Macaca mulatta: one gene and its partner. The protein of the gene in region 2 purifies or fractionates together with the protein of the main gene of each other region. This does not show direct contact. Links are inferred from orthologs where the notes say so. Each region holds a gene or a part of one and is shown on either strand. Other genes may lie near its edges.

Evidence for each region. The genes of interacting proteins can lie anywhere in the genome.
Region 1: the proteins of SNX24 (region 2) and CSNK1A1 purify together in Homo sapiens (affinity purification with mass spectrometry; 4 studies listed by BioGRID and IntAct, counting the BioPlex papers as one, with this or other methods). This does not show direct contact. The link is inferred for Macaca mulatta from reciprocal best matches to the Homo sapiens genes SNX24 and CSNK1A1.

Annotation. Positions count from the first base shown.
Region 1 is NC_133411.1:158,512,309-158,517,107, reverse strand, and holds the start of CSNK1A1 (casein kinase I), read left to right. Parts: upstream 1-1,522; 5' UTR 1,523-2,009; coding exon 2,010-2,132; intron 2,133-2,802; coding exon 2,803-2,909; intron 2,910-4,799.
Region 2 is NC_133411.1:131,917,135-131,921,266, reverse strand, and holds part of SNX24 (sorting nexin-24), read right to left. Parts: intron 3,702-4,132; coding exon 3,597-3,701; intron 3,101-3,596; exon of another isoform or gene 2,931-3,100; intron 1-2,930. UniProt on the Homo sapiens protein: May be involved in several stages of intracellular trafficking.

The sequences.
Region 1 (4,799 bases), about 27 Mb from region 2:
ATTTGGGAGTTGGGCACCCTGGGTGTTGGTTGTGCCTTAAAACTTCATGCTAAACTTTAGGGGAAGTCTCTTCCCCTCTCTCTTCAGTTATCTTCCGAGATGAACCCTATTACTAACCTTAATTACTTGATCACCTTTCAAAGGTGCAGTTAAAATTCTTCACATTTTTCTCTCATTTCTATTTAATTAATTATTTTTTTGAGAGAGGGTCTCTCTGTTGCCCAGGCTGGAGTGCAGTAGCGTGATCTAGTCTCACCGCAACCTCCGCTTCCGAGTAGCTGGGGTTACAAGTGTACGTCATCACACCCAGCTAATTTTTGTATTTTTAGTAGATACGGGGTTTCGCCATGTTGGCCAGGCTGGTCTCGAACAACTGACCTCAAGTCATCTGCCCGCCCCGGCCTCCCAAAGTGGTGGGATTACAGGCGTGAGCCACTGCGCCCGGCCCTCATTTCTATTTTAATTAAATTTTATTTAGGATAGGCTTAGCTTAAATGTTTACGACTGAGGTCTGACTTAAGATGATAGCATAAACCATGGAGCTTTCTTTTGTGAACATTACTATTACTCAACCCAATTTTCCCAGGTCAAATTTTGTAATACAAAATGTGGTCAAGATTTGATTCTCTGATCGATTTTTAGTAAAAAAGAAAAAAATTTCCGTGTAGCTTTAAATGTTGTCAATTAAATTTTGTAATAGTTACCTCTACTCTGTTCAGGTTAATACTGCGGTTTTCAACATGACCAACATACGATTCTTTGTTGTTGTTTTGGTGGGGTTGGGGGGCATAACAGTTTTTTCACTCTTGTTAAATTAATTTTCTGTTGATTCCATCTATCCCTAATCTTCACTATGAACAAGATACTGGGTTTTCTTCTGAAGATCAAAAGTGGTAGTGAGGCAATAATGCAAAGACGTAGGACGGCAGGGGGATTCCGGCTTCTTTCTTTTTTCCCCTCCTGTGGAAAGAGGGTCTATAACACTCCGTAGTAGAGAAGAAAATTCTAATTATGAAGGGTAATTAGCTAGGTTTTGCTATAACCGAGAGCCCTGAACGATTCCTCAACGCGGGCTGCTTTTCTCTTCCTCTCCACCAGAGGCGATAGCCTCTTTCCAAACAGAAACTGGGTTGGAATAGGCCGGTCCTGGGGAGCGGCCAGAAGAAAGATCAAAGGTTAAAAACCGCCTCAAAGAGCAAAGGTCAATACCCAACTCCTAAGGAGGCCTGACACGAAACATGAAGGTGACTCCTCCCAACATCGAGGCCTGGGGCCACTCAGCCTTCCAGAGACCCTGCGGGTCCGAGGCGAGTAACAGGTAACACCAGCTGAGCCGCCGCCGACCGGAAGTGGAAGAAAGCCCGGGGCGGGGTGAGGCAGGCCGCGGCACGCCTGCGCAGTCAGCAGGAGTTGCAGCGCTCATGCGCTACTGGGCGGTGACAGGGTGACGCTCGGAGCGTGGGCCGCGACTCTCACGGATCCGGTTCCGCCCTCTCGCTGCCGATCCTTCGGAGCGAGCGCCCCAGATCCCTTTCCCAGAGTGCTCTGCGCCGTGAAGAAGCGGCTCCCGGGGACTGGGGGCATTTTGTGTTGGCTGGAGCTGGAGTAACAAGATGGCGGCGTCGGCGGAGTGACAGGGGTCCCTCAGGGCCGGAGCCGGCGGCAGTGGTGGTAGCTGTATCGCCGCCCTAGCTCACCGCGCCCCTTTTCCAGCCCGCGACGTCGCCGCGCAAGCGAGGCAGCGGCGGCCGCCGAGAAACAAGTGGCCCAGCCTGGTAACCGCGAGAAGCCCTTCACAAACTGCGGCCTGGCAAAAAGAAACCTGACCGAGCGGCGGTGATCAGGTTCCGCTCGGCTGATTCTGGGCCCCGAACGCCGGTAAAGGCCTCCGTGTTCTGTTTCCTGCCGCCTTCCTCCGTAGCCTTGCCCAGTGTAGGAGCCCCAGAGGCCTCCGTCGTCTTCCCAGAGGTGTCGGGGCTTGGCCCCAGACTCCATCTTCGTCTCTCAGGATGGCGAGTAGCAGCGGCTCTAAGGCCGAATTCATTGTCGGAGGGAAATATAAACTGGTACGGAAGATCGGGTCTGGCTCCTTCGGGGACATCTATCTGGCGATCAACATCACCAACGGCGAGGTAATCACCTGGGGTGGGGTTCACGATAACGCTGCGCTTTTCCTCATTCCCCCCACCACCACCGCGCACCCCCAAAGTGCTCGGGCCTTTCCTCACCGCACGCACTCGCCAGGGAGTCCAGGGAGCTAGTTTTCCTGGCTTGCGATCCTCGCCCGCTCTCTCCCTAAAAGGGTCAAGAACCCGATAGAAAGGTTGGGGGAACTAGTTTCCCAGCTTGTTAAACACGTCCCATAAATGTCCCTTCGTCGAGCTGTTTTTTTTTTAACCGACTTTTAAGGTGGAAACGGCAAAATCCTCTTTCTGTGATTCCCATGCTTTGCTTTGCTTTTCTTTTATTTAATTTTTAATCCTACTGGGCCTCTTGTTCCAATTAGAACAGTTTCCGATTGCCTAGTTCCTTAAAAACCTCTCACTACGTTCAGAGGTTGCTTCTTTTTTCTGGATGAATCATTTTCCTGCACTTTAGAGGACGTACGATTTCGTCACTACCCCCTGAAGAGGCCTTTGAGGCTGGTTGCCTCGTTTTATAATTACAGAGAGCTTTCTCTTTCCAGCTTTTCACTTCTTCCTTGTAGTCGCGACTTGGAGTTTTGCTAATGTCTCTCTCCTTTCCTAAATGACACTGAATCCGTAGGGATGTTGATGCCATCATCCCCTCTTTCCCCTGCAGGAAGTGGCAGTGAAGCTAGAATCTCAGAAGGCCAGGCATCCCCAGTTGCTGTACGAGAGCAAGCTCTATAAGATTCTTCAAGGTGGGGTTGGCATCCCCCACATACGGTAAGAACCCCGTGCATGTAGGCGATCCGCTGAGGGAAGCACGGAATGGGGAAGTGGGTAGAGGCAGGTAATGAGACCAGCTGAATCCGGGTCTTGTTTTAGTTACCTGGGTTCCTTGTAGCTGGTGCCTTCCTGTAAGTCATCGCAATCACTGAGTAAATTTCAATTTGCCAACTTATTTCATTGTATTACACTGCTCCATTTCGCTTCCGTCATTCTCTTCCCGAGGCTTTCGTTTGCAGTTAGGCGTGCGGGTCATCTTTGATCCCTACGCGGAAGGGTTGGCTGCTGCCTTTTTTACGGCGGCACGTCTGATGTTCTTAGGTTTGTCCAGTGAAGTGGATTTGAAGGTGCTGAAGCGACCCGGCAGTGTCAGTTCGAGTTGCTATTGGAGCTGGCTTGGGAAATGGCTGCTCTTTTGTTGTGTTTTTGTTCCAACATGTCTTCCTCCTCCGCTTAGAAAATGGCGGAACGACGTGACTCAACCCCATATTCCTGCCCTTTTCTCAGCTTGGGTTCACAAATTATGCTTCCTTGATTCCTCCTTTAGCAGCCCCGAGTGGATTAAACCTTTGAAAAGCCAAGAATAAAGCTGCAGGAGGCGGTGTGGGGGTTCGAGGAAGGAGATGGCATAGTGACAATGTTTGTGATCTCTGCAGCAGATGTGACATGAAATTGTTGAATTATACTATGTAAAATCCTTTGTGGTTCTTTTAAAAGTGTTAATTACGCTTTCCTTTCGTGAATGGTCATATTTGGCACATTTCAGTCGGGACTAAATTTGTATAGGTAATGGCAAAGGCAGTTTGAGCAGCACCAACTATGTTAAAATTTACTCAAATCAATTGTATTAAAAGAAATCTTAATCACTTAGCCACACTTTGATAAGTAATTTTAACCTGTTGAGTTTGGCAGTAAATCTTAATATCAGAGAAATTGCGGCCTTTGTTGGTGTGGAATATTGGTGAGTGCAAATTGCAGTAACGAGGATAAAAGATGACGAGATAGAAAGACATTGTTCTGTCAAATGGTTAACTTTACTTTGGAGGGTTTTAGAGTAATGTTTTAACTTTTGGGATTAAAGAGCCTCTTCATGGAATGGAGACTAAAATATAGTTTAAAACCAAGCTATTTTTCAGCAACAATCTAAAATACCTTTTGCAAAAATATTCAGAATAGGTGAGAATGGTGTTTACTGTTTGCTGGAGACTCTTTTTTTTTTTTTTGAGACTGAGTTTTCGCTCTTGTCGATCAGGCTGGAGTGCAGTGAATGGCACGATCTTGGCTCACTGCAACCTCTGCCTCCTGGGTTCAAGCGATTCTAGTGCCTCAGCCTCCTGAGTAGCTGGGATTACAGGCGCCCGCCACCACACCCAGCTAATTTTTGTATTTTAGTTTCACCATGTTGGCCAGGCTGTACTCGAACCCCTGACCTCAGGTGATCCACCTGCCTCGGCCTCCCAAAGTGCTGGGATTACAGGCATGAGCAACCGTGCCCAGGTTTTTTTCTTTTGAAACGAAGTCTTACTCTGTTGCCCAGGCTGGAGTGCAGTGGTGCAACCTTGGCTAACTGCAGCCTCTGCCTCCCAGGTTCAAGTGATCCTCCTGCTTCAGCCTCCCAAGTAGCTGGAATTACAGGCTTGCACTACTATGCCAGGTTAATTTTTGATTTTTAGTAGAGACAAGGTTTTGCCATGTTGGCCATGCTGGTCTCCAGCTCCAGACTTCAGTTGATCCACCTCCCTCGGCCTCCCAAAGTGCTGGGATTATAGGCGTGAGCCACCAGGCCCGGCCTGTAGCCCCTTTTTCTATTCCAGTTTGTATTTTTCGTATCTTGAATTAAGGACTGGGTTGCATAGTCTTTACATGGAAACAACCCAAATAAAACTG
Region 2 (4,132 bases):
CTATACTCAAAAATACACGCTAGGAAAATTTCCTAATCCCTACTTCTCTGCCAAAATAGTTCTTTTAAACTAAAATTACTTAAATTGAATAGAGATGCTAAAATGTAAAAGAAAATATTTATTTATAAATTGTATCTTGAAGACTAATATGATGTTTATTTTCAAATTGAAGAAACAGCCAAATAAATGCTAACTGTAGGCTTTTTTGCCTCTCATTTTCATTAGTTCTATTTCCTTCATTAATTTCATTTCATTGGTGACCAGCAAAAGAATAAAAAAGAGTTTTAAAAGTACAGATGCCAAAACAGGTTGGGTTTCCTTTGTTTAAAATCTCAGATAGAACAAAATTAATTTTGAAAATAGGTAATTTGACCTTTCTTGTTTTTAAGTTAGCCTCTTACTTAAATATAGCACAGAAAATGAAAGCATATGCATAGTTTTTGCTATTCAAGTTATTGATTTAAAAAATCATCTATCTACTTATCCAGGGAGTTGGGGGATGATAGTCAACTAGGCTGTAATAGTTTATGATTATAAGGTCTTTTCCTTTACCTATTAGAGTCTTATGTAAAGCTGTATGTCAAAGTTGAAAAATTTCTCCTGACTTAGAAAAATCCACAACACATGAAGAAAGGAGCCCATATTGGATGTTAGGAAACTAAAATTCCAGTCCCAACTCTTTAATATATTGCAGGAATTGGGGCAAAATTTTTTTTTTTTTTTTTTTTTTTTTGAGACAGAGTCTCGCTCTGTCGCCCAGGCTGGAGTGCAGTGGCGCGATCCTGGCTCACTGAAAGCTCCGCCTCCTGGGTTCACGCCATTCTCCTGCCTCAGCCTCCCGAGTAGCTGGGACTACAGGCGCCCGCCACCGCGCCCGGCTCATTTTTTGTATTTTTAGTAGAGACGGGGTTTCACCGTGGTCTCGATCTCCTGACCTTGTGATCCGCCCGCCTCAGCCTCCCAAAGTGCTGGGATTACAGGCGTGAGCCACCGCGCCCGGCTAGGGGCAAAATTTTTAATTCCACTGGACCTCAGTTTGTCCATGTCTAAAATAAAAGAGCAGTGTGGAATCACCTTAGGAAATGTGTGGGGTTGTACTCAACCATAGTCCAGAATGTACTAGTTGCCCCTTGGATGGCAGGAAGAGTTGTTTTCTCTGACCCTCTCAAGAGCTGATCTGCCTGTTTTATGGGTGGGAAATTGACGCCAGAGGGATGACTGTGAAATAGCTGAAGGGCTGGACTATGTAATATCTAAGTTTCCTGTGCACTTAAGATGCTATGGCTTGGAGGTATTAATACATTTTTAGGCTCATGGGCCAGATCAGGACCATACTACTGGCCCTTACCAAGATGGGTTAGTGGCAGGATGGTACCTGATGAGAAAGTGCTGGTGGCACCCACTCCCTGGGTTTCAGACTGGTCCTGAGCATGCATGGATTCTAGCTGGTGTCATGTAAGCAAGCAAAAGAAACAGTAATACTGTCTTACTTCTAAAGAGACGTGAAATGATCAAGATATGACAGCTAGGCTAGGATTTGCATTTAATTTAAGATTAATAAAGTGTTCAGGCTTATCTTTGCAACTTCCATCTAGCTCCCATTGCCTGCAAGTAGAATCAAGTGGAAAAGAAAGCTCCCTTGAACTCCTGGAGGAATTAAGTGACAACAAATTGACTATTAAATGCACAACAGGAAGCAAGGGCCCTCTGAGCCCTTCGACCACATCTTTCAAACCTTATTTCTGAGAATAGAAAATTCTAAGCTCAATTTGAGTGTCACTATAAACTCCTCTCTGTGCCAGATGATTTTATGCACATACTTACATCCGAAGTACAAACAACCTAAAATGTTTATACTGAGTAGTAATGGAAATCATGTGTCAAATACAATGAGGGGAACAGAGTAGAACTTTCTTCAGAACTAAAGTTTGAAGATATATAGCATCATGGAAAATCTGGCTTACAAATAAGAATGCATTGTTTACCTATTCCATTTAATTATAGAGAACATGCATTTTTACTCTTTGCATACAATTTTCTGAAGTCTGATTTTTTTTTTTTTGGTTTGTTTTTTGCTCTGCAGTGTTGCCTGAAGCTATGGAAGGATCATAGCTCCTCATACACAGTCTCAAAAACCATGGCCACACACATTCTTGTGATGTTAATTCCTATTTCCTTTAAGCTCTCACCCCCAGAGAGAGACAGTGAAGGATTCTTCTAACAAGTCCAAAAGCAAAAGAGCAAACAGTAAAGACAGCCCTCCTTAGATGTCCTCAGGGGCCTTCTGCATGTCAGCTTTCCTATTAGAGCACTGTAAAGACCAGGAAAACTACAAGGGCCAGGAACGGAATTCTGGCATCTTTCTACTGAGAGATAGTCCTCTGAATTTCTCACTAAGCGCAAGCCTGAGGAGTCGGCCTCCCCTCAGCTTCTCATCACCAGTGATTCAGGGACAGCCATTCATAGAGCTCTGTAGAAGAAACGGCACACTAGCTCCACAGTTCTCAGTTTCCCTCCTCAACAGAATCCACCCTAGGGTTAATGCTTAAAGGGCCATGAAGATATCAAAGGGAGAACACAGTCAGGGCTGCTCATTTGTTTGATGTAACGTGTCTTAGATGGGTCAATCATTAATTCACAGCTCTTAGGTGGGAGTCCAGCTCTTTTGTTTCAAAGAGCCAAGATTCCCCTGCCCCCAGTCATGTTCACTCCATCATTCTCATGTGTCGCTTCTCCAGTGGACTCTGGTGCCAGGGAAGAACCATATCACTGGCCCTTATCAAGATGGGTTAGTGGCAGGATGGCACCTACCGCCTCACCAAGAAGGGTTAGTGGCAGGATGGTACCGGCTGACCTCAGGGCCTGCCCACCCCAGCTCCTGCCCTGCACAGTGTTCTTTGGACTTAATGATGACTACACTGAGTACTCACCTGGGGCCGCTATTTCTTTTTGTTTTAAAACTCAGAGAAGCTGATACTGCTCTACCTTCTCCTTTTGCTTCTTCTGTCACTTGGTAGAGAGATGGTCTTTGTCCTATCTCACTTAGGCAGTTCTGCTTGCTCCTCTCAGCTGCAGAAAAGAGTGTCCCAGTGCATTCTTTCTAAATGGACATTCCAATTTTCAAAGAGGTTGGCACTTCATCATTGGCAATTTTTATACATTCCTTTTCAATTTGATTCCAAAGATATACTAGCCAGGCCCACTGTGAGTTCAGTTTCTCTCACTACCCCAATCAGCCCCACAAAACTCAAAACATAAAGGCTGGGATTGCTATAAAGAAGCAAAAAAATTCTTGGAGGAAAAGCAAAAAGCAAAAAACAAAATAATTTGTAGAGTTGAATTAAAAAACAGATCCTCTCCTCAACAGTTTTCACCTTTTTATTAAAATTTCACTTCCCCAATGAATAGAGCCAATTTTAAATAGAACCCTAATTAAAGCTACAAGAACCAACCAACAACGTATCTGTAATTTTCCTTTAATTTAGACTCTTTGCCTGCTTAATATATTTCGCATTGCACCCACATGTCCTGAGAAAAAATGGTGAGACATATGATTATTTATGTTATATAAAATGGAGGATCTAAACATATCTTACCTGTAAGTATGTTTCCAAGCCTTGTCGTCGCTGTTCCAAGACTTTGGGGACCCAGTTCCTAACATGTTTAGAAGGGATTTCTGGAGTTTTTATACATTTCTTAAGCTATAAACACAACAGAAAAAGAAAAAGAAAAAAAAATGAGATGTCTGTTAATTATAGTGACATTATTTGCAGAAAAAAAGGCCAATAAAAGAAAGTGAACTACCGCTATCTGCAATAAAAAATAGAGGAAAATATAATTACACTGCAATTTTGTCAAACGATTCTTTATTTAGGTATCTTGACTTCAGTTTTCAGAATAATGGTTTTCTGTATTGGTAGGTATTATTGTAGACATTTCAGATTGAAATCCTTTTTCCTGAAAAATTAAAAAACCTAGTAAATGAATAAAAAAGAAAGTGAAGAAATTTAGTTACAAAAATCAATTAATACAACAAAATTCTGCTTGGATGAAGGACTTTCCTGATAAAAGGTCTTTCTACATATTTTTCATATAAAGAAATCAAAACAAAATGCAACTGTATATAAGTATT